3 linked regions of the Caenorhabditis elegans genome follow. The protein of the gene in region 1 interacts with the protein of each later gene in a pairwise test. Each region holds a gene or a part of one and is shown on either strand. Other genes may lie near its edges. The genes, in order: rpi-1, pho-7 and metl-13.

Region 1 (10,288 bases):
ATCAATCAATCAATCAAATGGCGTGAGAAAATTTGAGAATAAGTGACGTTTTTTGCATAAAGCTCACCTGGTTTGCTGGAAGATCGTTTCCGGAATCCGATAAAAGAGCCGAAAAATCCACGCCGCATGAAGTCGTCCGCATCGTATGACGGCTGCATTTTTGGAGACAGGGAAGGTTTTTTCACTGGAAAAAATGGAAATTTACAGTGCGGAAGTTTTTTTAGTTTCTGTAAAATATAATATTTAGAAAATAAAAATCAAAAAAAAAACTCAAATCTGATAGCTTAAATCTCTGCTGTTTTTGGTTTTATAAAAAAACGTTTAATTTATTTATGTTTTTTTTTGTTTATGTTTGTACCATTTTGCAGTTTAAAGTAATGTTCTGTAGCTCCTAAATGGTTTGAAACCAAAAAGTTTCTAACGGAGCAAAATTGAATGAAAAAAAAAATTTAGTATAGGTCTTTTGAAAACTGCTGACACAATCAAAAATTGTAAATTTTCACTTCTGGTTTTTTTTATTTGCTTTACAGATATTTCAACAAATTCTCATTTTCAAAATAGAACATTTTACAAAGTTTTAGACAAATTTAGTATGACTTTTTGAGACACTTTTTGGAAATATTGAACATTTTTAAACAACCCTCAACCTATTTCAAAAACAAATTTTATTCTACTTTTCATTAAACTGGATTTTTGAACTTTTTACACACTCCGTATTACTTTTTCACAATTATCAAAATGAAAAAATCAATAAAATTAAAAACAATGAATTCCAATTCATCTAATCATAAAACTACCATAAAAAGCGGCTGGAAAACTCCGAAAAAAAAGGAAAAAAAAACTGAAACCGTTTGATTGGTTGGAGAGAAAAAGAGAGACGGTGCTGATAACAATTATTTGTAGGAAGACAGGTACTTCTCGAGCCTTGTCTGTGCATTTTGTGTTGCTCTCACTCTTCTACTCTCCCGATAACAACAGGACACTATTTCAGAGCACACTTTGGTCACACACCGGTGCGGTGGAGCACACTTGCACTATGAACTTTTGATACTGGTAGGTAGGCAAGCAGGCAAAAAGTAGGCCTATGAGGTAGGCTGGTACTGTGAGTGTCTAAATAGGTCACACAGAATCCTTACCGAATCTATGTCAGTGCCTATAGGCGTCTCAAAAACGCCTGCCTGCTTGAAAGACTGTAAACGCCTGTATATTACTTGCCAAGTACCTATCTAGTACCTACCTAATACCTACATTTTACCTATTTGGTGCTTATCTAGTGCCTACCCAGTACCTACCTATTTACAACTGTGTACCAAAACGCCCTAGTGCCTATCTAATATACCCACCTAGTATCTACCTAGTACCTACCTAGTGCACATCTAGCGCCTACCTATGTGGTACCTTTCAAGTGCCTATCTAGTACCTACCTAGTACCTACTTAGTATCTACCTACTGCCTATCTAGGGACTACCTAGTGCCCACCTAGTACCTATATATGCAGGCCAACTATTACCAATAAAAATACCAAAAAGTTCACGTAGAACTGATAAAATTTATGTTGTCACTTAAAAATACCTACCTCTACTGTCACAAACCGTGTCAGGAGATCCCCATCATCCGGTAATGCTTTAAAAAATCCACCAAAAGCTACTCTGAATTTCAAATTTTACCTATGAAAACGTGCACAAACAACTAATAAAATCAAGTTCGAGTGTGTGAGAAGCCCCCGGAGGGCTCAATGAGCTCGTTATCAGCGCGGCTCCTAACACAGAAGGGGTATGCAAGAATTCAGTGAAATATGGTGGTGATAACGGAGGGATTATTTATTGACGTTTCATCAATAAATCAAGAAAATCGAGCACAAAATGCAAAAAAGGTAGACGATTGACTACACTTTTTGTTGACTCGAGGATTTTTATCATTTGTTAAACTGTGACCAAACTGTAATAGGATTATGATTGGCTTCTGGGTGATCAGGAACAAGAAAAAAGTGCCTACCTAGTGCCTACCTGGTACCTACTTAGTGCCTACTTAGTGCCTACCAAGTACCAACTTAGTGGCTAAATAGTACCTACCTAGTACCAACTCAAGACCTACCTAGTGCTTACCTAGTGCCTATCCTAATACCTACCTACCACATACCTAGTACCTACCTAGTGCCTTCCTAGTACCTTCCTAGTACCTTCCTAGTACCTCCCTAATACCTACCTAGTACCTATCTAGCACCTGCCTAGTACCTGCCTAGACCCTACTTAGTGCCAACATGGTACCTACCAAGTACCTACCTTGTACCTACCTAGTACCTAAAAAATTTAATTTTCTAGGTTTTGATAGTTGACAACTTTTTCATATCTGTTATCAATACAGATAAAATTTAAATTTTAAATTTATTTTTTGTTGCAAAATTGACTTTTGGGAAACAAACAGGTGGTGATAGTTTGATCTTTTTCCCATCTCTTTATCATTAAAGAGAATTAGTGATGCAGAGAAATAAAATCGTGTGTTCTGATGATTTTGCATCATTTTCCGCATTTCTGGAACTTTATTTATTTTTTTCTAAATTCACCACAACTTTTTGAAAAACATAAAGATCATACCAACTTAAAGCAAAATTCAAAATTGCGACTTTCTATTCAAAAAAAAATTTCAAAAAAAAATCAATACACAAAACAAAGAGACAGAATTGATAAAACTGGTGTCTATCACTGATCTCATCAACCCACCCGGTTTCGGTCTGCAAAGTACGCACGAGAAACGCGTCAGCAATGGACGTCTTGTCCGAGTTAAGTTCCCCCGAACAAAGTACTGATAAAATGAGCAAAAAACAAATTTTGATTGAGAGTTGTAGATACTGAAAAGTTCAAAAAAAGTGAAAAGTGTAATGCCAGAAATAGTAAAGTTTTCGGATTAATAAAACAATTGTGACTAAATGCCTACCTCGTACCTACCTAGTACCTATCTAGTACCTGCCTAGTACCTGGCTAATACCTAGCTAGTACCTGCCTACTACCTAAAAAGTGTCTATGGTGTGCCTACCTGGTAGCTACTTAGCACGTACCTAGTACCTACTAAGTACCTACCTGGTACCTACATAGTACCTACCTAGTACGTAGCTACCTTATACGTACCTACCTTATACGTACCTAGTACCTACCTACTTTTTTATGCAACAAATATCCGTAACAAAACTGTGTTACGTGAGTTTTCAAGACTTTTTTCTGTAAAAAAAATTGATAAGAGAATTTCAAAATTTTTGACTTTGAAATGATGTATGAACTTTCCAAATTTTTTTGCGAAAAAGTCATGTAAAGTTGAAAGATGAAAGTCTAGCCATTTATTAATAAGTGAGGAGATTTTTGACAGAAAAATGTTGACGAGGAAGAGGGATAAGTTGAAGGGAAAAATATTTTGAAAAAAAAATCACAGAGAAATCAATCATTTTTTGGCTTCATCTCCTTTCTTGTGGTCTTCTTCAGTGGATCCGGAAAATCTGAAATTATATTTATTTAGAGTAGGATTTTCAGATTTTCAGATTTTCTTCAACTAGAAAAAAACTGCCAAGAAATGGGCGGAGCCTATTTTGGAAAGTTATCGAGATATTACATTTCTGGGAATTCCCATTTTCAGCTGAAAACCCTTTGAAAACTAAATCAAATTAAAAACAAAATTACAGAACACAGACTTCGCCCATATCTTGGCTATTTGAAACTTCCAGGCTTTCTTGTACTTTTCTGAGCTAACCGAAAGTTGGCCGGAAAATCCACCAACTATCGCTAGAAAGGTGACAACATTTTGGAGAAAGTTTATGCTAGTGAAATTTTATGCACGTCTGTCCACTAACTTCAAAAACTGTCATTTTCTCACAAGGGTTGGTAGATTTCTTCAGAAAGGTGCCTACTGTTATCGTGCTATCAGACAGTTACTAGATGTATTCAAAAAGTTGCCGACTTTCTTCAGAAAGTTGTTAGGTTCAGAAAGTCCCATTTCGCTTTGATCTTCGAAAAATGCGGGAGGTGAAACGCAGACATCTCATCTGATTTCGCATGGTTACGAGCATGCTGACATCACAATTTTTCTGGTAAAAAATTCCCGCATTTTTTGTAGATCTGAGACAGTCTGACATCACGTGTTGCATCCAGAAAAATTCCCAACTTCTGTCAGAAATTCGCTAGGTTTCTTCAGTAAGGTGCCAATTTTCTAAAGCACTGCAACTTTTTCCTCACGAGGGACGAGGAAAAGCGGTTTCTAGGCCATGGCCGAGGGGCCGACAAGTTTCAGCGGCCGTTTACCTTGCTTTGTTTTCCGCCTGTTTTCTTTCGTTTTTCATCGATTTTTTTTTGTTTTTTCTTAATAAAACTGATAAATAAATATTTTTTGCAGATGCTAAAACAATTTCCATTTAAAAAAAATCATGTATTCAGTGGGCAAGCAGCGGTGAAAGTGGGCATTGTAATATGATGGATTACGGGAATACAAAACCTAAACTTTTTTTGAAACATGATACATATGCTGTTTAAATGCTGAGACTACCTGATTTTCATAACGAGACCGCTGAAAAAGTTTTGAGCTTTCCAAAATTCAACTTTTTTGGTGAAAAAGTCGAGATTTTCGCACAAAAAGTTGAATTTTGAAAACCTCAAAACTTTTTCAGCGATCTCGTTATGAAAATCAGGTAATTTCAGCATCTAAGCATCATATGTATCATGTTTCAGAAAAAGTTTAGGTTCTGTATTCCCGTAATCCATCATATTACAATGCCCACTTTCACCGCTGCTTGCCCACTGAATACATAATTTTTTTACTTGGAAAATGTTTTAGCATCTGCAAAAAGTATTTATTTATCAGTTTTAATAAGAAAAAACGGGAAAAAGCTGTGAAAAACAAAAGAAAACAGGCGGAAAACAAAGCAAGATAAATGGCCGCTGAAACTTGTCGGCCCCTCGGCCATGGCCTAGAAACCACTTTTCTTCGTCCCTCGTGAGGAAAAAGTTGCAGTGTAAAGCACTCCGATAAAAGTTTGTGGCATACTCAATCGCCAAAAGCTTCCTATTTACACCTATAACTCATTCAAAAAACTCACGAAACAGCTGAAGAAGACTTCCTGGAAGCAGGTGTCTCCACTCTTGACTCATCATCATCCTCTTCCTCCTCCTCCTCCTCCTCCTCCTCCTCCTCCGTCTCTTCGTCCTCCTCCTCCTCATCCGATGGTTCTTCCTCAGCTTCATCCGATCCTGCATCCTCCTCATCATCCTCCACTTCTTCATCGTCATCCTCGTCTCCATTGCCTTCATCCTCCTCTTCCTCCGAGCTCTCCGGAGTTGGTTGTCTGGAAATTTAGAATTCTAAAGATCTAAGCATAATCTTTTCATGATCATGATCTATGGTTTTCTAGTACCCTCCGGCTAGGTTACATCTAGGAAACATACTGTGATACACTCTTAGCCTCCAACGCAGTCGCTGACCTGTTTGCAGGTGTCCCCGGAGCCTTCGCAGTCGCTGGCCTCGACGCGACCACTGGAGGCGTTGGGGTCCGATGTATAGTTGCCATATCGATTTTCTTTTCTTCCTCCGGGAACTCCAGAATCTCAGCTGCACCTGTCACATTCGGTATAGGAATCGATGAAGCTGTGGAAACATCCGATACAGCTGTCGGAATAGGCTTCGGCGTTGATCGCTTGGCGGCAGCCACGGCTCCAATTGCAGCTGCTCCGACAACTGTAACGCCGGCCGCTGCAGCAGCGCCCAGCACTTTTTTGGATACTTTTCGCTTTGGTGTTGGTGGTTTTTTGTTGGTTGTAGACGTTGTAAGGATCTTCTTAGGTTTTGGAATCGTCTGTCTTGCTGGTGGAGCCTTCGGTCGTGCTCCATCAAACTTCTTCGGAGCATTTGAAGCTCCATTGACGTTTGGACGAGCTGGATTTGCGTCTCTCCGAGACTTCCGATCCTCCGCCAGTGTCCTCACAGATCGACTTCTCTGCACACCAGAGCCCGTCGGAGCAGAGCTCCCAGAATTCTGCGGCTGTCGTCGTTTACTAGGATCTTGGCTCCGCGTCCTTGCTGTCTTTATTCGGTCGGAGCTCATGATGGGGCTGTGCTTTCGGCTTGGCGGTTTCCAGACTTTTTCAGCAAACTCTCCATATCGCATTGGGATGAATTGGGCGGACGCGGCGACGTAGATCTGAAACCACCTACTATAGGCACGTAGGCAGGCATGTCCCGACCCTTACCTTTCCATCTTCCAACTCCTTGATCGAGTTCACAATTTTTCCATCCGTAGTGTACAATTTCTTGGCTCCATGTGAAAGCTCGATTCTATCGTTGACCTGATTGAGCAGCGGCTCCATATCTTTTATCACACGTGGATTTATCACAAACTACAAAACTTTTTGAAAATTTTTGAAAAAACTCATAGGTGTAACGTTACCTTAACACCTCTATGATACCTATCTCCATTTTTATAAATCGAAATTTTGCGAATATTATACGAAGAAATGCCGGATAGCGAAGAGACTCCCGATGAAGATAACGGATCCTCTGCCACCTTTTTCACCTTCTTTTTTGTCGATGGAGTTGGCATTCTGCACACAAATCACACACTGCAGAATCAGAATCACCTGGAAATGTTTGTTGTTGAAGTTTTTTTTGGAAAGTTTGGAAGTTTGAGCAGAATCTAATAAGGGGGTGCTGTTGGGAAAAGCCACGTCATTCAAAATTTGTCACAGAGCGGGAGTTGCGACGTGGCCGAGAAAAACATCGGTGGCCAAGAATTTTAAATATTTTAAATACTTCTTCCACCAGAAGGCAGTCATTCATATCGTGCTAGCCCCGATTTTTGTTGAGTGCAACGCGCGACTACAAAAAATTTTAAAATTTTAAATTCTTAAACTACACACTAAAAACTACAAACTACAAACTACAAACTACAAACTACAAACTACAAACTACAAATCACAAACTACCAACTACAACTATAAACTGCTTTAAGGTAAAATGGCATTCATGACGATTCATGTTGTACACGATTATACACTAGACTTTTAGCCTCTAATACTAGGAAAAAACTAGGAATGTTATAGACTACAACCTACAAACTACAATCTACAAATTACAAATTACAAACTACAAACTACAAACTACAAACTACAAACTACAAACTACAAATCACAAACTACCAACTACAACTATAAACTGCTTTAAGGTAAAATGGCATTCATGACGATTCATGTTGTACACGATTATACACTAGACTTTTAGCCTCTAATACTAGGAAAAAACTAGGAATGTTATAGACTACAACCTACAAACTACAATCTACAAATTACAAATTACAAACTACAAACTACAAACTACAAACTACAAACTACAAACTACAAACTACAAATCACAAACTACCAACTACAACTATAAACTGCTTTAAGGTAAAATGGCATTCATGACGATTCATGTTGTACACGATTATACACTAGACTTTTAGCCTCTAATACTAGGAAAAAACTAGGAATGTTATAGACTACAACTTACAAACTACAATCTACAAATTACAAATTACAAACTACAAACTACAAACTACAAACTACAAACTACAAATCACAAACTACCAACTACAACTATAAACTGCTTTAAGGTAAAATGGCATTCATGACGATTCATGTTGTACACTATTATACACTAGACTTTTAGCCTCTAATACTAGGAAAAAACTAGGACTGTTATAGACTACAACCTACAAACTACAATCTACAAATTACAAATTACAAACTACAAACTACAAACTACAAACTACAAACTACAAATCACAAACTACCAACTACAACTATAAACTGCTTTAAGGTAAAATGGCATTCATGACGATTCATGTTGTACACTATTATACACTAGACTTTTAGCCTCTAATACTAGGAAAAAACTAGGACTGTTATAGACTACAACCTACAAACTACAATCTACAAATTACAAATTACAAACTACAAACTACAAACTACAAACTACAAACTACAAATCACAAACTACCAACTACAACTATAAACTGCTTTAAGGTAAAATGGCATTCATGACGATTCATGTTGTACACTATTATACACTAGACTTTTAGCCTCTAATACTAGGAAAAAACTAGGACTGTTATAGACTACAACCTACAAACTACAATCTACAAATTACAAATTACAAACTACAAACTACAAACTACAAACTACAAACTACAAATCACAAACTACCAACTACAACTATAAACTGCTTTAAGGTAAAATGGCATTCATGACGATTCATGTTGTACACTATTATACACTAGACTTTTAGCCTCTAATACTAGGAAAAAACTAGGACTGTTATAGACTACAACCTACAAACTACAATCTACAAATTACAAATTACAAACTACAAACTACAAACTATAATCTACAAACTACTTTATGAAATAAGGAAATTTTGGACTGTGCTTTTTAAAGTTTTTTTTTGGCCTTTTAGTGGCCAGGTAGGTAATGTGACGACACCTACAGACCTATAGCAGATAGGCACGAGGTAGGCAGGTATTTTAGGAGCATACTACAACCTACAAACTACAAACTATGAAAGTTCAAAAAGTATACATATCAGATCAAAAAGTACATTCTCGTCTAGTCATCATCATCATCATTTCATAAAACTCATAATTAGCTTCAGTGTCACGAGATTAAAAACGAAGAGAGCTCCAGATAATGAGCTATACGTTTTCGAATAGAAAAAGAGCAAAACGTGTGCTCCGAAGTGGTGGTGCACACACATACACATTCACATAAACACAAAAAGCGTTATCGCTTTTGATATGGGCATCTCCATGGTAACCGCACGCGCAAGAGCTGGCTCCGGAGCCGGTGGGAGAGTGTGTGCGGGAGAGGGAGACGCAGATGTTTGGTGGGAAACAAAACCAATTGAAACACTTTTTGAAGTGATTTAGTAGGTGGTTTGGGAGGAAATTTGTAATTTTAGAAAGGGATGAGAAATTTTAAATTGAAAAAAACAATTTGGTAAAATTTTTTTGTTTTGTTTTTGGCATATCTAATGTAAGTCGATTTTGAAAAATGATTTATTAGATTGATTTTCGGAAAATTAATGTATTTTATAGTTGGAACGGAGATTCAGACGCATCGTGGCATCCATTCGTCGGGCACATTTTGCATCCTTACAGCAGCACGTTTTCTCCTCGGCTTTCTCGAAAGAAAAATCCTGGAATTTTTTTTAAATTTCCAATAATTAGAGTTTGATTAATAGTTCCAATATATTGCAATATTCAATTTTTTTGAATTAAAAATTCAAAATTTGTTTCCCAAATTCTGTTCTTCAAAATAATAAATTAACTGCAATTTCTTAAAATTATCATGCACATCAGGGGTTGGCGGCAATTGCCGTTTGACAAATCGGCAAGTTGCCGGAAATTTTCAATTTCGACAATTTGCCGGTTTGCCAATTTGCCAGAAATTTTCATTTTTGGCAAATTGCCGATTTGCCAGAAATTTTAAGTTCCGGCAGATTGCCGGTTTGCCGATTTGCTAGAAATGTTCATTTTCGGCACTTTGCCGGTTTGCCGAATTGCCAGAATTTTAAATTCCGGCAATTTGCCCATTTGCCAAAAATTTTCAGTTCCGGCAATTTGCCGTTTTGCCGGACAAAATCGTATGCCGCCCACCATAAATATTAAGCACAATTTTCTTAATGTTAAGCCTATATTACCCCAATCTCTTTGACCAAAACTCGTTTCAAGGACCCAACACTTCGATCAATCGACTTGCTTGATTTTTCGTTTTTGTAGATCTGCGTCGTGCATGTTTTCTGGAAATCCAGATTTTTTTCCGATTTTTCTGGAAATTTTGCTATTACACTGCACATTTTGATCGCCTTCGCCACGATAGGAACGCATGAAAAATGCACATTTCGAATGTGGGCTTGATTTCCGTCGGCCATGGTTGCGTCCAGGGAGACCAGTTTGCTGGAAATTTTTGAAAAACCCCATTTACAAATTCAAATTCTCCGCAAAAAATTACACATATCCCCCAATTTTCAGAACTTTCCGGCACCTCAGGGTACATCACCCCCCACCCCTCTGCAGTCGCCCTCCGTGTTTGCGTACCGCACATCGTATCTTACGTAATTTTGCACTACATTGTTAAAACCTAATTTCTAGGGGTAATTTCTTATGGAGAACTCGAAAATTCAGTTTATTTTTGCTCTAAAAGTGATCTTGGGCTAGAAAATTGACTTTTCTCGTTGAAAAATTATGCGAAATTATATCATTTCTGCCAAATCCTTACCTAAC
Region 2 (10,174 bases), on another chromosome or scaffold:
TTATCTAAATTATCTCCCCCTTCTAGGAGATTCATACAACTCATTGATTAAACATGATAGAACATATGTACTCGTTGTACTACAAGGGTGCAATACCCAATATTTCTTGTTGCCATCGTCAAAATCCTTCAAGAACAAAATCCTTTTCCTCGACATCTTCATTTGTGGCACATCTTACTTTCCATGTAGATCTTGAAGGATGTGTCAGAGTTTCCGATTCCTATAATAGTTTCTTTACTAAATGTTCCATATTTTCTTGCCCTATCTGAATTCAAAACAAGTTTCTCTTCGGCAATTAAAAAATTGTAATTTAAATTTTTTTTTTTCGTCACCTTTACTAGTGATTATTTTGATTTTTCCACCAGATTATTCTCTTAATGTGATGTTATAACATATTTTTCTACTCTCCTCTCGTGAAAGATTGACCAAGATCTCTTATGTACCCAATGTATTTGAAAAACGCCTATAAATAAATATGCATACATTGCAAACCGTTTGTTGTGGATTTTGGAGGGATGAATTATTTTTTGAACGTTGTTCTTCCGTTTAGCCCGTTTTCTTACAGGTAGTCACAAGTTACTCGCACAATATGGACCACCTCGTTGTATTATCGATTATTGGCCTCGGCGCGTCTATAGATTCGGTACGTACTGAAACAGTTTCAATATGCATAAAGAACATAAACAGTGTTACAAGTTAAAAAATATATAAATGATAAATTCTATTTTCAAACGGGTTTTTTCAGAAACGTGAGAAGAAAAATATTAGCGTTGGAAAAAAGATCGCATTCATAAAGCTTGGTTATTTTTGTACATACAGATATTTATTTTTATATTTTCAGACATCATCGTTATTGTCCTGAGGACAGGTTAAGATCTTAAACGTGATTCCCAAAGTAATATTTATTAAATAATAATAGCAAATACAAGTTGGTTGAATGATTGACTGAATGATTGAGGGGTGCTGCAAGAGGCCAAGAAATAGTCTTATATACGGAAGAGTTGATCGAATTATGTAAATGATGGGGCGACGGCGGTCATGAAATGGAAACCGCGGGAATAATACCGCGGGAATCATAAAACGGGGAAATCAAAGAGCGAGCGATTTGACATCGTTTTTGTAATATTGACTTTGGTTAATCAAATTATTTTTCCTTCCAGGCTTCCATTAATACATCATACCAGAGAGTTTGAATAATTACTTTTGAACTAATCGCTTTCCTGTTATTAGTACTTTTCTGGCCGAACAGCAAATGAACGCGTTTTTGTGAAGACGTTCGACTTCTAATATTACTCTCAAGTGTAATTTTTCAAGGAAATGTTTTTATGCTTTTTGCTCGTATCTTGACCATTCCTAGATTAGATATCCATTTTATAACTGAACTATTCGTCAATAATGTGTCATGATGGAAATTTTGCAACATAGTAAAATCACAAATAAGCCGTTCTAATCCATTGATGAATCATTGTTCAGTACCTAACCTATTTATAAATATATATCAAGAACACCTACACATTCGTATTTTCTGAAGCATAACCAAAATACGAAAAACTGTTACTACATATTCTCATCACTTTATCACTTTTTTTTTTAACAATGTATCAATCGTCTCTAACCTAACTATCTTTGATCTTTGTATCTGTACTTCTTAGGGTCCGACACCTTTTTGCAGACACTAATATAGAACTCATTTTTTACCGCGCACTTCATCTTTTCCGCATTTTATCAACTTTCAAGAAAAACCGTCAACGATTCTGCCGCGATAATCGGTTTTTGAATCTCTGGGAACATGCGATAAGTTATATTTCTTTCCTTTTCATTTTGAATGTGTTTGCTAAAACGTTGAAGAATTTTTATAATTTTATTTAAAAATAGCTTTTGAATTAAATATTTCAAATATTTTAATACATCAAAAAAGGTTTATTGAACTGTACAACAATGCAATATATTTTGTCAACAGATTCAATTACAAACCCTTGCAGAAATGCTGATCCATATTTGAGTTTTTGTTCGTAGCTTAACAAAATATTCCCAAAATTTATCCTCCAATCTAAAACACCGAAAGTAAAAGTTGTCCGTTTGGTTCAAGGGTGAGCCTACAAAGCCTCCTGCGAACAAGAGATTTATGAGGGTTACTGATGGCATTTATATCTTTTCTAGTCTTAATTTAAGCCGTATCGGGACTAGTGGTATGGCCCATTTACCTTTCGTGGACCAAATTCACCACCAATTTCCAAGCAATTTTCCAAGTGAGGGGGGCTTGAACTTGAGACCTCTTGGGTGACAGTACTACACCACTAACACTTAGCCACCCGTGTCCCGTATAAATACACATTTACTTTAAATTACGGTTATTTCTAACAATTAGAAAGAAACACAAATATGTATGTATACATCTAAAAAAAAACCATTAAATTCATGAAATCAGACAAAGCAATTTGTAAAAATATTAGGATCATTAATTTGTAAATTAGAGAGTGAATGTGAAGATGAATCGTTGGGATCAGCAACAACAGGTGATGCATTTGTCCCATTTTTTTCATCGACTAGTTTATTTGAATGACATGTTCAATCAAGTTATTTGGCTCTCAATAAAATTGCTCTTTTGTCTTTCTTTTTTCTTCATGCTCAATCTTCTCATAACCTTTGAGACGAAATGAAAAATACTTGGAGACCAAACCGAAAAAAAATGATGGAAGACATGGCTTATCATTTTTCCCCACTTCTCTCCCAATTTTTCTCAAAAGCCTGTCGCCGAGTCACAACAATGAAGTTTAACAACATCACGTTGGATGATGAGATGTTACTACACAAACACACTTTCAATATATTTGCTTGTTTCTACAAAATTGTTTTTGCTTTTTCATAGCCACATTTCGTGCTTGATCGCATTTCTGTTTGGGGGATTTGTTGAGTTTTTCGGTAGTATATTGAGAAATTGATAGGATTAAAAGATGTTCCAAGGGATGAGACATAGCTTATCGGAATTTCCTTATTAACAGGTTAGATTTTTGATTTCTCAAGTTTGTCAGTTATTAGTATGTCATTGATGAAGCTAGTATTTGTTAAGTGTTGAATTTATGATCGTTGCTCAATTGTAACGCATTTCCTTTTTAACTTCTCAAACAGGAATTTTAATTCAGTCTACTCTAATTCAGTACTTAGGTATTTTGTTAATTGTAAAAATTTTGTTTTTACAGAATTTAGAAAAATATAGGAAAACAATACAAAGTACGAAAAAGGCAATTCGCCAAAAAATTTCAGTTCAAAAATATATGTATGAAAAAAATAATTGTTTAGTATGAATTTACGATTTTTTTTTCTTTCCCTGTCTTTAGCCTATGATTTATAGTCTTAGTATTACAGTTTCTATCACACGTAAACAGTACAAAAATTCAATTGAAATTGTTTTGAATTTAACAATTACGTTTTTACAACTTTTGAAAATGTTTTAACTTGATTCTCTGTCATTCTCATGTGATTGTTTAAAAAAGTGTTCCTTCAAATTTAAAAAAAAACCATAATCATTTCAGAATGAAACATTTTTACTTATTTTGTTGTTCTCTACTGTTACCCTGTGCGGCTGAAATTGAGTTTCTACTAGCCGTTTGGAGACACGGAGATCGAGCACCGGAGAACCTACCATATCCAAGCGACCCTCACAACGAGACATTCTGGCCCCGCGGATGGAACCAACTGACAAATGTTGGTTTTTGGAATCTAAAAAAAATACACGCCACTCGTTTCTGTTTCACTTGCAGGTTGGCATCGACCAAGCAACAAAACTCGGAAAATTTCTACGACGACGCTATCAAGGGTCAGTACTTCCCGTGTTTGACCGAAAAAAGGTGAGAAAAATAAATGTTTATTTTGCAGCGATGCATAGAACCACTTGATTTTATTTAAGATAAGTATTCGCTCATCTGACGCGGATCGTGCGATTGAAACTGCCCAGTCAGTGGCGACTGCCTTATTTCCACCAGATGGATTGCAAGTTTGGAACGAAGAAAAATTTAGATTTTGGCAACCAATTCCCATAAGAACAAATGGAAAGCCTGATCCTGTATGATATCAAGTCAGGAAAAATTTGTGAATTAAAAAAAATTACAGATGTTACGTCCCAGCAAAATTCAATGTCCTGCATATCAGAGAATAGTTGCAGAAGAAAGAAAGAAAATCGAATCAGAAATCAATGTAAAGTAAGTTTCCTAACGTTTTGAGAATTTTTATCCATTTCTGTTGCCAATAGTAAGAGTCCGGGGGGTTTTTAGTTTTTGAAATTTTAGTAAGTGGTATACACTATTTCTTCTATTAGTTAGGCACCTCTATTAGTTTTGCACCTCCATTAGTTTTGAATCTAAAATCACTAATCGAAAATTAGTTTTGCACACTCTATTAGTTTTGCACCTTTAATAGTTTTGCTCCCCTTCATTTGTTCCCTATTTTTAGGAATTCAAAATTTGCATTATAAAATCGTTCTAAAAGTTAGGAAAACTTTTACAGACTTGGTATAACAAGTCAAAATAGGCAAAATATGAGTACAACTCGGACAATTTTTGCTTGCATGCCTTACTAATAGAGGAAATACGGTAGTTTAAAAAAAACATGCCTTTTTTTCTATATTGATGAAGTTTTCACATTTTACAAATTTAACTTTGAATTTAAGATTTGCAGACCAAAAATAATATCAATTGTAGTTTTTTATTACTACCAATTTCGAAAAATAGCAATTTAGTTTTAATTTCCCATAGTGAAAATTGTAAGCTTTTTTCAATTTCTTGACGTGTTTGAACTATTTTTCGTGATTTTTTTTTCAATGTTGAGTGTGAAAGTAGTAAAAAATATTGTGAATTCTCGACTAAAAAGCTAAAAAGCTTTGTAAATCCTTCACTCCAGAATATCATCGTCGCTTAAAGGTGACATATCACTTGAACTGTGTTTTTTTGTCAATTTTTTTAACCAAGTTATTTTCAATTAGGTTTTTTAGTATACTCGAAAACTCATTTATACTTTCTTGTTTAATCTCACTAATATATACAAAAAATCTACAAATGATAGTCAACTTTTACCAAACAAAAGACCGATTGCTGCATAAGAGCTTCTATATATTAGTATTTTCAGATACAAGAGGGAACTTGAAATTATTTCAAATCACACTTCTCATCAAACAAAATACGGAAATATCAAAGATGTTTACAATGTCATACTGGAAGTTAGTCGTATTACGCTATTTCGAGAAGATCGTTTACAGTATGATAATTGCAGCACTACAATGGGCTTCCTTTTCCTAACTGGATAGATGAAAAAGTAAATGGAAAGAGCCTTCTCGATACCATTGCAGAAATAAGAAGAATCGCGAGATTACAGTTGTTTAATAGCAGAGCAAAAGCAAAGTTCATGTAAGTATTTTTGTATAAAACAGTATGAATTTTTGATTTAGGGCGGGCTACCTCATCAACAGTTGGACTGAAAGCTTGGTGTTAGCTTCGCAACATATCAGCCCAAAAAAAGCGTTACTATATTCGTCGGTAATAAACAACTGTAATTGTTAATTTTATAATTTGAAATTCAGCACGACGGAACATTATCTGCTCTCATGTATGGATTGGGAATCAGTAATCATCAATTGATTCCATATACTGCTTGTATTATGATTGAGTTGCACACAGGAAATAATGTAAAGGTTTGTAAAGTAAATTGATCATGTATCCAAAAAAGTATTTAGTATATAGAGACCAAAAGGACACCTTAAAGTTTTTTTTTAGAAAATTCGTAAACTACATATTTCTCTGAAATCATTAAAAATGTGGGAACGTATTGCTAAAATTGCTCGCAGGTAATTCAAAAGTTCCAGGGTTTCTAAACCTTAGAATTCGTTTTGAAGAAGAGCGCATGGTAATTTTTTAAACACCTTTCGAAAATTACTTTATATCAAAAAATTAAAAAAAATTTTATCCAAAAGTGATTAAAAATGGTTTTCAAAATGGTATTTTTCAAAAGTAATATTTTTCCAAGCCAGAAAAATCTACAAAATATTCACTTATTAATTCTTAAAATGTTGAATATATTATTAATTTTTTCGTCAACTTGCTTTTACCAAAAGTTAATTATGGAGTACATTCTCCACACGCAAAGAAAGAGTAATTTACTATTCAAATAATGAAAAATAGTTCTCGTTTTAAATATTCAAAAGGGAAAATGAAGATTATACTATGTTCCAATTATTCTGGCTGCAATAAATAATTACACAATTCAAACTCAGAATCATTTAATTTTAGATATACTTTCGCAACACGACAACAGAAAACCCAGATGACGTGCACGAAATGTTTGTTCCAGGATGTTCGACTGATTGTCATCTTTCCAAATTCATCAAATCGGTGAATGGTGTACGAGTCAAGAGTCTTGAGCATTTGGAAGATGTAAGACAACCGGGTGGTCAGTGTCCGTTGGAAATATATTGAATTTGTAGATATGCGAATCAGCCTTCTCCCGTCAGTCAACCTTGATTTTTGCCATCATTTTCGTCATGCTTTTGATTTTGTGATTTATCGCTGTACATATACATTCCAATTGCTCGAAAAATTGGTTTTAGCTGATAACATTCGAGATTATTTTTCAACTTATTTTTTCCTGCCAGTATTTTATTTTTTGTTTGACTGTTTTTCAAATTTTGGATAAATTCTTTTTTGAAAAAAAAACTTCTAAGCTATAAAACCGTATAAAAAAAATCTTGTGAGAAATTTATTTTGCAGAACATATTTTTTATAAGCTTTGAAAATAATGATTGTTTCAAGACTTACGATACATTTCACTTTCAAACTCTTTTATAAGTCTTTGATTAGTATTAGTTCATGTAAGTTCCACATTAATCTTACATATTTTTTGCGTAGTTTTAATAGTAACTGGTATCCCTGGTAACTACTTTTTGTAACTTTCATTCATTATGTAATTGATCTTGTACCAATGCCCACTTTCGCGCTCTATGGAATATCTAATTCTTTGTCCACTAATCGGATTGTTCAAGTTGCGATTGTTAAACGAGCGGTACACTTTACACAGTCCGTGCAAAAATTACGCAGTCAAAAAGCGTGATGGTGGTAGAAAAAGAAAGAAGAAAACGAATTGAAATGAGGAGCGAATGATGGCGAATATCGGCGGTGAGAAGAGGGCCCGCTGCTCTCTCCCGGATATATTTTGTGCCCAGCGCTATCTCCCAACTGATGTCTTACGACAGAAGTTTTGCCCGCAAGCACGCTCTCCCGTTGGAATCTTTGTTTTCTCTGCGTTCACATGTATTTTAACACCCCCCGATCTTCTGCAACTAAACTATGCACATTACCACCATGTTTTGTACAAGTCTAAATGTACTTCTGGTCCCCAGCCACTTTATTATGGTTATGACAAATACTTCTTCTGCTTTCCCCTTCTTTTTATATTCATGGACATTGGGCGAACGCTTATCCGCTAATTGGCCAACCATCCCCGTTTTGGAAGAACTCATCCACTTGAATGTACTTACATGTTGTTGCTTCTATTTCTTCTTGATTCGTTTTCAATACCACCTCTGTTTCATTAAATTTGTGGTTTTCCACATTACATATCTTTAAAAATGTAATATTAGGTATATTCTCACTACTTGTTACCAAACAATCGTAATCCAAATATCTTAAGGATTCGGTCTGTCGATTACTCTCATGTAATTTATCTGGTCAAAATGATCCTCTATGGAAAAATTGTATTTTTTTTTAATTGTCTTCGATTTGCTTTTGGATTACACTATACTTGGTGTTTCACCTGTAAGTGTGCTGTTAGAGTTTTTTAGTATTAGATCTTGTTGGAGTCGGAGAGAAATTTGCTGAACTGAATGTTTTTTGTAAAACAGAACTTTGATTATAACTTAATTTGAATGCCCACTTAACTTAGCTGTACAATGATGTTTTGCCCAGTATTTTAGCATATTTCTTCTTTTCGTAGGCTGTTTTTTTTGCCCTACCGTTTTCTGCCAATTGCCAAATATTGAGCAAAAATAACTGAGATTACTGTAATTTTGAAAATTTAAAAGTTCTACTGAAGGATGGAGATGAATGCAACCATGTTTATTGTATAACATCTGGCACACAAATAACTACTATTTGTTTTAATCGATAATTATTGTGAAGTAATATGAAGGAATGTATCTCGGATCACAATTTGATTTCCAATTTGAAAAAAAAGTTTGATCGAGCTGAGTGAAAAAAGTTTCAGATAGAACATTTGAAGCATTTTCACCAGGCTCTAAATTAGTTTAAAAATGCAATGAAACCAGTTATATCTAATATTATAATTACTTTTTTGTGATGAAAACTCAGTTCATTTTTTTGCTCGAAATTAAAAAAAGTCGCAAAATTTTTGAAAAGTTTTGTTAGGATATGGGATAATTTTAGTATCATAGGAACAGTTTTTCTCCACTGGCCGTACTTCACTTTTCAGTAATGGGGAAGAAAGAGCAAAACAGAGTTTATTCAGTATAGTTTTTTCAGAAGATGATTATGAAAATATTGTCAATTTGAGCACATCTTGGCTCCTTTGTTCTCGTTGCTGCTCGTTTCTTTTTTGTTCCTTCATGGCCTCTGGTTACATTTGAGACGTCAATTTTCTCATTCAGTTGCATTGGACATACACCTTCTCCATGGGTGGCCATTTCTCATTTCACAATTTTTCTCCTTCTTTCTCCCTATTCTCTTTCAAAACACCGTTCAATTTTCTCCGTTGTGTCGGTTGCACTTTGCATTTATTACCCGATTAGGCTTGCCACACACACACACACAAGCACATACATTTTCAAAACTCGAAACAATGTTTTCTTGTTTTATGATTCAGCACACACCGAGTCTTTCTCCAGTAATTGCCAGCATCACCCTTTCGGAGTATTATTGTGGTCTCAGTTTCGGCTCGTTTCGTAATTTAGAAAGAACACCATAAATTGAGGGTGGGATGTGGCTATTCCAGCTTTTACGAGATGAATAGACCTCGCTCAAAGCCTCTGGTTCTACCGAATTCCATTTCAGAAACTCATTATGGCACCGCTAATTCTAAGCAATTTTGTTGTTAAATATCGGGTGTAAAACGAATTGTTTATTCTGATGAGAATACATTTTGAAATCCCAATTCTGTTTTTTTTTTCAATTTGTTGCTGAAATTAAGAAAAAATCATGTTACTTGTGTATTGTACATAGACGCTTACTTTGAAAATAAATAAAAAACAGCGAATGAAATATGAAATAATTGTGATAATGAAATTTTTTTCAACGAGGAATAAGAATGTTTCTACTTCCAGAGCCAATTCAGATTTGGTTTACTTGAGTTTTGAATTTGAATGCTGTCGGATTTCTTCACGAGAATAAAATTTTAGTAAGATACATTTAAAGTTTTTTTTTTCTTTTCATAAAACTTAAATTTTTAAAAATGTACCCCTCACAAAAAAAAACAAAATCCTCGTTCGAAATTTTTTACTAAGAGCCATTACTTTGTTTCTATTTTCCTTTGTGAAAAGCCGCTGTAAATTTAGCGCATCTTTCTAATTAAAACATATATTATTTGTTTCAAATAACCGCGACACACGTTTTTGCGTTCACTGAACCACACCGAACATGCTTTCCGGGTGCTCATCCGCAACCTAAACAACATTATGCTCTCCGCTTCCCCCTCCAATAAGGTCCACTTTTCTCCGACAAGCCATCTACCCCAAACATCGGGCTAATCCACGTTTTATTTGTTCGACCCGGTCTTTTTGCGGTTCATCCATGTGAATACACATATACAGATCCCTTTGGGTTCCCCATGAGAGTGAGAGACCGGGACATACCTTGAGATTTAATTAAAGTGTTCGCGCTTGTGTCCTGACTCTGTTTTTTACTCGCTCCGCTGCCACAGATTAACTTTTGAACTGCAGCCGCGCATTGAAAGGACGTTTTCACGCTTTTTTCCTCAAAATTGAAATGTTTCGCGCAACAGACATACACACCCAAGCCAAGATCCTTGTTGTGTGTGCCAAGGTCGCAACTCCTCGCAATTTCGAACAGACCGACAGACGTCTCATACACCTGGATCCATAACACCTGCAAAATTGGTAGTCACGGAAAGGCATGACAGAGGACGACACGTATAAATCACTTGTCCTCCTTTCTCTATT
Region 3 (9,930 bases), on another chromosome or scaffold:
CATGCTGGGCCATATTCTGAACTTTTAATTTAAAAATCGCTTTATATGGCTTTAATACGGTATAAGACCTCACCAATAGCACTTCTTATTCCATCCCATTTCCCGGCTGCCTCTGGTTTTTGAAATCTTAAATTTCCCACTGGAGGTTTTGCGAATGGAATTTTTTTGAACAAATGATAATCTCCTATCTCTGCACCTTCCAAATGACCAAATGAAGTGTGTATAATCAGAGAATCTGCTGCATTAATTATAAAAATTAACAGTAACAAGCGCAAAGTATTCATTTGAATGCTGTTGTTTTTAGTGAACAAGACAATCGATTATTTTTGAGTTCAATTGATAAGAGTCTGACTACGATAGTGAATCTTATTGACATATCACACAAACAATTGCTGGAATTTAAATTTCGTAGCTTAGTTGTCTCAATAATTCCGATATTATAACTCTATTTATATATGTCAATTTTTAAACGTACTTATCTTAAGATAAATCTTCAAAAAATTGCCAAACGAGTTATTTTCAGATTTGAACACGCGCGCTTTTTCTTCGGTCGGCCGTGGGTCGCGAATTGGAGAAAGTTCAGCCACGCGTTGTGTACTCCACTCGGACAACTGGAGTATTTATTTTTCTTCACATATTTTTTTTCTTTTTCTGCGGTTTCTTTCGAATGATTACAATAGTTTTTCATGGTTTAGTGAAAAAAAAATTGTTCGTGTTATCTTGCTTTAGTATCTGATTGCCATTACCAAAGAGCCACCGTTTTCAGGTTTTAGGCCTTCAAAAATCCGGATGTTTGTAAAATGTTTATAAAACGACTATTGTTTTTATTTTCCGCCATATCGGTGGTTTCTTGCCTTTCAAGACATCCGAAATTGTTGCTCATCTCATTTGACGGATTTCGATACGATTTATTAGATGAAGTATTGGTGAGATTTGCAGAAAATGCTGAATTAATACTTTTATTTTATTTTTCAGACACCGAATATTCACAAATGGGCGTCAATGTCTACATGGTTTACTTCAGGAGTGAAGTCGCAGTACGTAACGTATACTGCGCCGAACCATATGAGCATTGCCACAGGATTGTTCGAGGAAGAACATGGAATTGTCGGAAATTACTTTTTCGATGCAGATACCAAAAAAGCGTTAGTTTTTTTTTTGCTTGAAAATGTAAAAAGGACGTTCTTTTTTTCAGATTTGACTATTTCAATTCTACCGGAAAAGAAGGTGTCGTGAATGCATCACAAGAGAGTTTCTGGTACAATTCTGATCCCATCTGGCTTACGAACGAGCGATGGGAGTCTTCCAGAAGATCTGCGGCGTTTTACTGGCCAAATGGAGAATCACAGTTTCCATATATTCCCCATAAGCCTAAAATTGCAAGGTAATTTTAGAAAAGTTTATTTAACGAGAAGTAGTACTTGGACAATTCAGTTTTTCAGGCCATGGACAATTGTTGGTGATCTGAAATCATGGATGAAGGACGCTGACGACGTTATCGATGCTTTTATTCGAGAGAAGGAACCTGTTAATTTCCTCGCTTGGTATGTAGCAGAACCCGATCACACACTTCATGGAAACGGATTTCATAACAAGGAAATTGAGAAAACATTAAAGAAACTTGACGATCTATTTCTTTATTTTATCAAAAAATTCGATGATAATAATTTGGGAGCTGATGTGAATATTATCCTAACAGCTGATCATGGACATGCAGAAATTAAAGGTAATAATTTAAAATAGTTGAAATTAAAATCTTCATAATTCCTAAAACTAAATTCAGATCACAAACATGTCATGTGCGTGAAAGATTATGTATCTGGCGCTGGATTCGAAATGGGTGATCATATGATTTATCCACACTCGGATGAAATTGGAAAACAAATTTATGCAAATTTAACATCAGCAGTGAAAGAGCATGGATATGATGTGAATATTCATTGGAGAGAGGAAGTTCCAGAAAGATGGCATTATCGAAACAGTTCGCGAATTGGAAAAATCGTTTTCGAGCCGCAAATCGGTTCTTCGATTTCGTTTTCGTGTACGAAGGATCTTATGGAAAAGTATGTGGTTTACAACCGGGCTGTGCGGCAAATTTTTCTGGCAAACGTAAACAATAGTAATGCAGAAACAGGTGCATTCTATCTGAAAATAATATTTAGCTTTGTTGAATAATTGGAAAAAAAACCTTAAATATTGCCCGAATGTTGTCATTTGCAGAATAACTTTTAACGGCACTATTTGAGACCTTTGTCAAGTTTTTCAACAAAAACAAATATCATTTTTAGATGGAATGGGACATTTTTTCTTGAATTATCATATTAAAAAAAGGCAGTTTGATCCGTTTACCGGAAAAAATATTACAACGATTAGTTTATTGAAATCAACTTTCAGGCAATATGGAGAAAACGGAACATTAAAATTCAATTCATCAACTCACGGACAAGATCCTGATCGTCCAGAGATGAGAGCTTTCCTTATTATGAGAGGCCCAGCGTTTTCTGAAAATTATACGGTATAAGCTAGGCATTTTGAGAACTGTATGATAAATATTCTTTCAGATTGCCGATATTCCTTCAAATGTGGATTTGTACAATATAATGTGTCATGTGCTTGGTATCACACCAACTGAAAATAATGGAACCATGGAAATTGTGAAACGAGCTTTAAAAGAGAACAGATATTTACCAATGACACATGGTTTCGTATTTAATCAGATTACGGTAGGTTATTCCACAGAGTATTTGACTCAATTCTAAAGCTTATCAAAAGCACATAATTTTTCTTCAGGATTCATGGAGTTTTTCGCTTATTTTAATTCCTTCAATGTGTATTGTTATAATATTCTTCGCTTATGGATGTAAGAATACCGTACTCAAATCTGATCCCAATTGGGGAAGATCCGATACAGTTCAAGGATATCGGCCATTGAGTAACCGGACGAACGAAGGATTCGAATTAAATGATGATGAGGATGAGGATGAAGGAGATGGATTAAGGAATTCGATAGATTTAGAAAGAGGTGGAAGAAGGAGTCAAGCAGGAGGTGGTGCACTTGGAAGTGTGAGTTTTATATTGAAATAATCGGAAAATCAAATATCGCTCGAAATTATTTTAAAGAAAAAATAAATAAAAAATTACCCGAAATGTTCTCAAAAATGTGTAGATTTTCAGCTGAACAATGGAACGGTAGCAATGTCTGGACTACTGGATGAAATGAGCGATGATGATATTTGATCTTTTTAATATAACTTTTTGCATTCAAATTGTAAATATTTCTTGTGACCTCTTTATATATTTCCCCCATTGTGCCTTCGATTTCTCTTTAATTTCTGCAGAATATTCAAATCACAAAGCAAAATATTTATCTCTTTATTTGTCCTAGTCATCCTTTCATCTCTTTTTGATTTTTTTCCCCGGTTGTGGATTTTCAGGATTTTCAAAATCATCCAAAGACAGTTTATCAATTTTCAATGTGATATATTTTCAAAAAAGATTACTTAACTTTAATAATGAATGTTTCTCATATTTTTTACTTCTTAATTATAATTTTATTTTCTTTGGTTTTCATTTAGCCTCATGTTTTATTTCGAGTATTTAAAATGATTATTTTTCTAGTTTCTATAGTTTCAGGCCATGTCCGCTCCAAATGAGCCACAATCTTTCACGGATCCAGCGTACTGGAAGAACTTCTTTGCAAAACGAAAATCTCCATTCGAATGGTAATTAAATAATTATATTTCTTTGTTAAAATATGATGTCTTTCAAACAAAATTAAAAGAAAATTATCACATCACTATCAAGTGTTTTTCAGATTTGTCAAAGAAAAATTATCAATGTTTCGAAAAATAACTTAAAATATTGACCATTTTTCTTCTTTTTAGATAGAAATTTTTCCTCATCAACATACACAAAAATTGAATGCTTTCGATTCTCATGTAAAAATTTGAATTCTTTCAGGTACGGTGACTATAATTCTTTATCAAATGTAATTGATAAATATTTGAAACCGAAAGACACGTTCCTTCAACTTGGATGTGGTAATTCGGAATTAGCGACCCAACTCTACGATAATGGATTTCATTGCATTCACAGTATTGATGTAGAACCATCTGTTATTGCCACACAGATTCGTAAAAATAAAGAACGACTCGGAATGACTTTTGAGACTGGAGATGCTGCTAATGTGAGTTTGGAGAATGTCCCGTTGTGCACAATGAACAATTAAAAGAAAAGAAATTCGAAAATAATATGTTATAGCTATCCATGGCCGATGAAGCACATACCATTGTAATTGATAAAGGAACTCTCGACGCTCTTCTTCCACCATCAGCTTCAGAATCCGATGAAGCATTGGTTACAAAGATGTTCGAGGAAGTTCATCGTGTATTGGCTTCTGGTGGAAGATATATCATTGTCACATTGGCTCAACCACATATCACCGAGTTCTGGATTAATCACTTCTATCCATTGTAAAATATTCATTTTTCTCAAAAATCTGTAAAACGTTATTCCAGAAAGCAATATATCCTACGTGTTCAAAAAGTTGAGAACAAGGCTTCTGGATTCCCAATGCCAGTTTTCTGCTTTATTGCCACGAAAATGCGAGCACCAATGCCAAATCCATTGGTAGGTAGATAAATTGCAAATTATTTTATTTAAATAAAACCTATATTTTTAGCCTCTAGAAGTTCTTCGCTCCAGCTCCATCCGTACTGATCGTATCGATAGCACTGACGAATTGAAGGATTCTATTCGTGGAGAACAGGAGCTCTCACAATTCATCTACCTGTGCTCGAAGTAATTCATTTTAGTTTTTCCCTTGAAATTAATGAAATTAATTTAGAAAGCTGGACTCTGAAGTTTCAATCGACTTTCATGGAGCAGATCCATCATTAGGACCACGTTATCGTATCTGTGTTGTTGATAATCCAGAAGCCAAGAAGATTGACACATTCGCCGCATTTGTGGTTCCAATTGGACGGTTTGTATAGAAAACATTTTTAAATTCGAATTCTTATATTAATTTCAGTGATTCTGAATGGCTATTCGCCTCACCAAAGGGACGAAAAGCTCTTCGTGTTCAATGTGGCCGCGAACGTCTCGCAATCGTTTTCCTCAACAGAAATCAAAAATATGAAAAAGGAATGGACGGTGTGAAGAGTGATATTGGACATTTTGTTGGAATGCTGGATGTTAGACAAGATAATACTGGAAATGTATGTAGAATTGAACACGAAACATATGAAAACCCGATTTTCAGTACGAAATTCTATCCATCGGAGGAGTCGATGTTAAGCGAACCGTTTCAACGGGACGTTCGGATATCAATGGTGGTTGGAGTGTTGAAGAAGTTACTGTTGAAGGAAATCAAACTAGAAGACTAGTTTTTCTGAATACGATGAATCTGGTACAATCTGAAGCTTATCTGAAAAGTTAGTAGTTGAAAATTTCATTTTTCAACCCCCTTTAAAGAGTAAAATGGATTTATTACAACTGAAAAATCAATGAAAACTGAGCAGCAACGAGATTTGAAAATTGCAGTATTGTTTAAAGGCGCACATCCTTCTGTATTATTTTCGGTGGAAAAAGAATAACATTTCCCATCTTGTTAATACACGAGAGGTAGTTTATCAGAATTAAAAAAGAACGGTTTAATGATGCTCACCTCAAAATTTAAAATTAACATTACAGCCGGAAAGAAGAAGCAAACGGTCATAGATCTCGATCAATTGGCATGCGATTTCCATAGAATGATGATCGGATCCCTAGCCATCAGTCCGCAACAACCATTAGCCAAGAATGATGCTCAGTGTAAGATGGCTGTTCTTGGATTAGGTGGTGGACTTTTGACTGCATATCTTGTCAGACATTTCAAAAAGGTATCAATCAAGTCTAGAAACTTAACAGTGCTAAATTTTCGTTTCAGGCTCATGTAACCGCTGTGGAACTTGATCCAGAAGTACTCAAAATCGCAAATTCTCACTTCTCGTTCCCCCATTCGGACGCTAGAATTGACGTTGTCATCCAAGATGCTCTTATTCATCTCCAGGAGACTGCAAAGAAACCTGAAGGTATTTAAAATATCATGTTCAAATTTTATTTTACAAATCAATTCTTATTTCCAGAAGAGAAATACGATGTGATTTTTGTGGATGTTTCTGGAAGTCAGAACGCTGCTCTTCAATGCCCACCATCCGCCTTCCTTACCCCAGAAGCTCTAGGAAATATGAAAAACTCGGTGAAAGAACAAGGAATGATTAGTTTGAATTTGGTTACACGCGATTCGGAATTCGGAAAGTCGATTAAAAAGAATATCGCAGAGTATTTCCCAACTCTCTACACAGTTCTGTCCTTCGAAGATGTTAATGAGGTAAACTAAATTAATTATTGAAATTCTACTAGCAAATATATTTCTTTCAGATTATCATCGGTCTCAAAACACCCAAGAACACAATAAAACCAGTGGTTCCTCAGAAATTAATCAACACAGTTCGCAAAGATATTGGAAGCTATGATGAGGTTGTCGGTGCTATCTCAAACATTCGTATGGTTGATTATTAATTGCACAATTTCGTTTGTTATCTTGTTTATTTTCAGTAATTTTTTATTATATGTATTCGATTGTTCCCAGTTATTCAAATTTTCCCCCGTTTGTTGTTTCGTTTGTTCACCTGATGAATTTTGTTTTACACTTTGCAAACATGTCTAATGTTCTCACGGTGCAGTGAAAAACAACTTTGCAGGAAAAACAACTATTAACAGCATATTCGATATCTCGACGCGATCCTACTGTACTTCCGATGTAGACTATTTGGAATTCCACTAGGAAGTTGTGCAAATTATCTGTATTTGATTATGCGGCCAAAACTATTCTATAATAACTTTGGAACTAAAAAATATTTTCCGTCACAAAATATGAAACTTTTAATTTTTGATCGTCAGTTTTTCTACAAAATAGTATTCATTTTGGTAGTGATCTGTACTGCAGAAATAGATTAATCTCTAAAAAAGTTCAGACAACGAGTAATTTCTATCAAACTGTGTTTTTTAATCTTTTAATTTTTATTTCCGCCTCTCACCGTGCGGTTATAAAATTCATAAGTTCACTTGTGCGGCCATCATGGTTCAAGTTAGTACTGTACTTTCTCTATTTCTATTGCTAATATGTCTAGTTGATTCCAGTTCTGAACCAAAACGTACAATGATAAGAAAGGTAACTAGGGAAATTAAAGCCTTCCAATTAGGCCCAAAAATGCCGGCCTACTTCGTACCTACCTCAATACAATGAACCGTTTTTTTCTAAACTTTCACTAGTTGAACTTTAATTTAATTAAAACAAACTACTTTATTTACATCGCCTTCTAATTAGATGCCTGCTTTTATATACAGCCAGACAATAAGAACCTACGATTGAAGTTTCACAGAATTTAAACTGCTCGAAGCTATTTTCTTTTCAGCCAGGAGCTCGTCTTGCAATAGAATACTACAAACCAAAAAGTATCACACGTTATGTGAAAAATGCAAAAGGAGTAGCTCAAGAGCACATTTTCAGGGTGTGCAATGGGAAAAACAAGACGAAATGTGGATATTGGGAGAATGTGAAGGTTAGTGATATTTACTCATATATAATATGAACTCAAATAAAAAGTCTAATTTCAGACAAAGAAAAAAGTGGGACCAAAAACGACATATGACAAAAAGAAGGATATGTTAATTATTGCAAAAGTGTCAAAACTCGATGCAGGAACCTACATTACACCCTCATATGATACTGTTACTGTTATTATTCAAGATGATAAATTTTAAAATTTGAGTGTAATAAAGTGCTAGTAGGTCCAAAGTGAAGAGATTTCAAAAAAAAGTTCATGCTATTAAACAAATATTAAAGTTATTGATGATCATCCGGACTTCTATACATTAAGATTTTCTTTAAATGTTGTATAAATTTATAAACTCACTGAAACGGTATTTTTTTCTTTGAAAAAAATAATTTCAAGAATTGCGTAAGTTCCTGCACTAAACAACATCAGCCACCAATTTTTGTTTTTTAATAGTTTCCTATAATACTGTGTTAACAAACGTTGTTTATTTATCTGAATTTATAAACTCACTGAAACCGTAATTTTATTTTCAAAAGAAGAAATTAAAAACTTGTGTTGATTTTTTTTGATAGAAGATTTTGGAAACCAAACTAACAATTTTTGGAATATACTAAAATATTTTCTTTCTGGTGATATTTTAAAAACGACCATATAAAAGTCGTTTCTCCAGAATATTCAAGAATTGAGCCGATTTTCAGTAAAACGATAAAAATAAAAATGCGAAGGTTATCGATTTTAAAAAGATTTGTTTTTTATCCTTCAAAATCGGATATATTTTAATTTTAAACAAAATCGCTTCCCACTTGCTCTCGCCCTGTACCATTTCGGTGTCGCCAGAATAATGTCAAATTCAAAAGTTAAAATTACAGTTAAAACACTATACAATTGTTCCATTTTCATTACTTCCCTCAACAGCAGCGGGACGGTAGTGTTTAAGAGTGTTGGACTTAAAGGTGGAGTTATAGAGTCGCTTCTATTCATTCTTATCATCAAAGTAATAAATCAAATTGTGATAACAGACGAGAGAAACTGAAAAAGGGAGTCACCTACCATTTTCAGCTCCTCTTTATTTGATTTATTGCCTGCTGTAAAATTTTTTTTCTCATAATTTGGATTTCAGATGAAACTTCTCACAGCGGTATTGCTACTGCTGGTAGCTGTCAGTTCAAAGGCACAGGGTAAGTTTTCCAAAAGTAGTCCTTTCTAATTTTAAGAAGTCGACGTAATTTTTCCTTAAATAAAATACCTAGACAACTAAATGAAAAAGAATTAAAAACCATATTGTAACCTTACATCATAATGTTTGGAGTACCGCGAAGTATATCGTGCACAAAAATTTCAATACTGTGTGTGGCGTCACAATTGCTGAAAACGAGGTCGTATTGTTTTCATTTCAAGAAGGATGCTAGAATATAGCTATTTTCGGTTTCAAAATAATTATACTCAGAAAATATTCAATTGCTCTAGTTCAATTTATCCATTCATCATTAAATTATCTGCAATGTGAAACGGGAAAATTTTTTGGTATCACATTAAGAGTAAATAAATTTTAACCAATTCAAAGGGCGTCACCCTGTCGGTGCTCGCTTTACCCATCCGGTGGCTCGTTTCCTGCAATAAATCATTTCGATCACCACTGATTGGTAGCTGATGTAGAGAGAAATTTAACTGATAATGAGCTGATTGAATCGAAAAGTTTACATTCTTTTCTTTTTCCGATGAGTTTTGTATCATGGTTGGCGGAAAATAGAATGCAGAATGATGTCATAGGAATTGTATTTTTGAAAGAATCTAGGATTTTAAAACACAAAAATAAATAATGAAATTGAAGTACAGTCAAAGCAACACAACTGCTGCCCTATTTGGACTGGCTTTGAATAATATATTTATATACTGTATTCTGATAATTTTCTTAACTTTAGCAATTTTTTTGAATTTTCTAGAATTGCGGCTGCTTGAGACTTCTATATATATTTGACAATAATTTTTAAAAGGAAATTTCAAAGATTTAAAAAAATACTTTTCGGTAAACCTTGTTTCAAAATTTTATTGGAAAAGTATGGAAAAGTTCGGAATAACACGGAACACTCAAATATGTCCAAACAAGAGAATAATTAAAAAAAAAATAACTCAAGCAGTGTTTCGGAATGATAAATTTGAAAAGTTGCGCTTAGGGATCGCGAACCTGATTTTTCCAGTTCCTATTATTTTCGGAATCAAGGTGATTTTTCTATGTTTTAAAACTGATTCCATTTGTTTTGATAGAATAACTGGTCACTAGGTTTTTTTGAAATACTAAAAATCTAAAAAGTGGAGTTAAAACTAG

What was found.
Region 2: the proteins of rpi-1 (region 1) and pho-7 interact in a two-hybrid assay, tested with the Caenorhabditis elegans proteins (one large-scale study listed by BioGRID).
Region 3: the proteins of rpi-1 (region 1) and metl-13 interact in a two-hybrid assay, tested with the Caenorhabditis elegans proteins (one large-scale study listed by BioGRID).

The regions. Positions count from the first base shown.
Region 1 is NC_003280.10:13,955,807-13,966,094, forward strand, and holds rpi-1 (Protein rpi-1), read right to left. Parts: upstream 6,614-10,288; 5' UTR 6,575-6,613; coding exon 6,422-6,574; intron 6,372-6,421; coding exon 6,225-6,371; intron 6,176-6,224; coding exon 5,424-6,175; intron 5,324-5,423; coding exon 5,078-5,323; intron 3,488-5,077; coding exon 3,433-3,487; 3' UTR 3,317-3,432; downstream 1-3,316. Other genes in the region: Transcription factor zip-3, read right to left, coding at 68-158; W07G1.7 (uncharacterized protein), read right to left, coding at 9,085-9,201, 9,706-9,804, 9,853-9,961, 10,284-10,288.
Region 2 is NC_003284.9:10,934,715-10,944,888, reverse strand, and holds pho-7 (Lysosomal acid phosphatase), read left to right. Parts: upstream 1-3,533; 5' UTR 3,534-3,534; coding exon 3,535-3,705; intron 3,706-3,761; coding exon 3,762-3,848; intron 3,849-3,907; coding exon 3,908-4,063; intron 4,064-4,110; coding exon 4,111-4,199; intron 4,200-5,121; coding exon 5,122-5,212; intron 5,213-5,265; coding exon 5,266-5,399; intron 5,400-5,440; coding exon 5,441-5,528; intron 5,529-5,572; coding exon 5,573-5,683; intron 5,684-6,278; coding exon 6,279-6,422; intron 6,423-6,472; coding exon 6,473-6,547; 3' UTR 6,548-6,695; downstream 6,696-10,174.
Region 3 is NC_003282.8:6,631,456-6,641,385, forward strand, and holds metl-13 (Methyltransferase domain-containing protein), read left to right. Parts: upstream 1-3,633; 5' UTR 3,634-3,636; coding exon 3,637-3,722; intron 3,723-3,960; coding exon 3,961-4,186; intron 4,187-4,260; coding exon 4,261-4,472; intron 4,473-4,517; coding exon 4,518-4,629; intron 4,630-4,681; coding exon 4,682-4,800; intron 4,801-4,846; coding exon 4,847-4,984; intron 4,985-5,032; coding exon 5,033-5,219; intron 5,220-5,263; coding exon 5,264-5,435; intron 5,436-5,694; coding exon 5,695-5,882; intron 5,883-5,929; coding exon 5,930-6,074; intron 6,075-6,128; coding exon 6,129-6,373; intron 6,374-6,423; coding exon 6,424-6,564; 3' UTR 6,565-6,700; downstream 6,701-9,930. Other genes in the region: cest-5.1 (Carboxylesterase type B domain-containing protein), read right to left, coding at 1-16, 74-284; C01B10.9 (Bis(5'-adenosyl)-triphosphatase), read left to right, coding at 801-926, 976-1,145, 1,196-1,384, 1,443-1,726, 1,784-2,063, 2,395-2,515, 2,562-2,723, 2,791-3,063 and 1 more; C01B10.7 (TransThyretin-Related family domain), read left to right, coding at 7,124-7,216, 7,461-7,607, 7,663-7,809; kola-3 (EGF-like domain-containing protein), read left to right, coding at 8,725-8,782.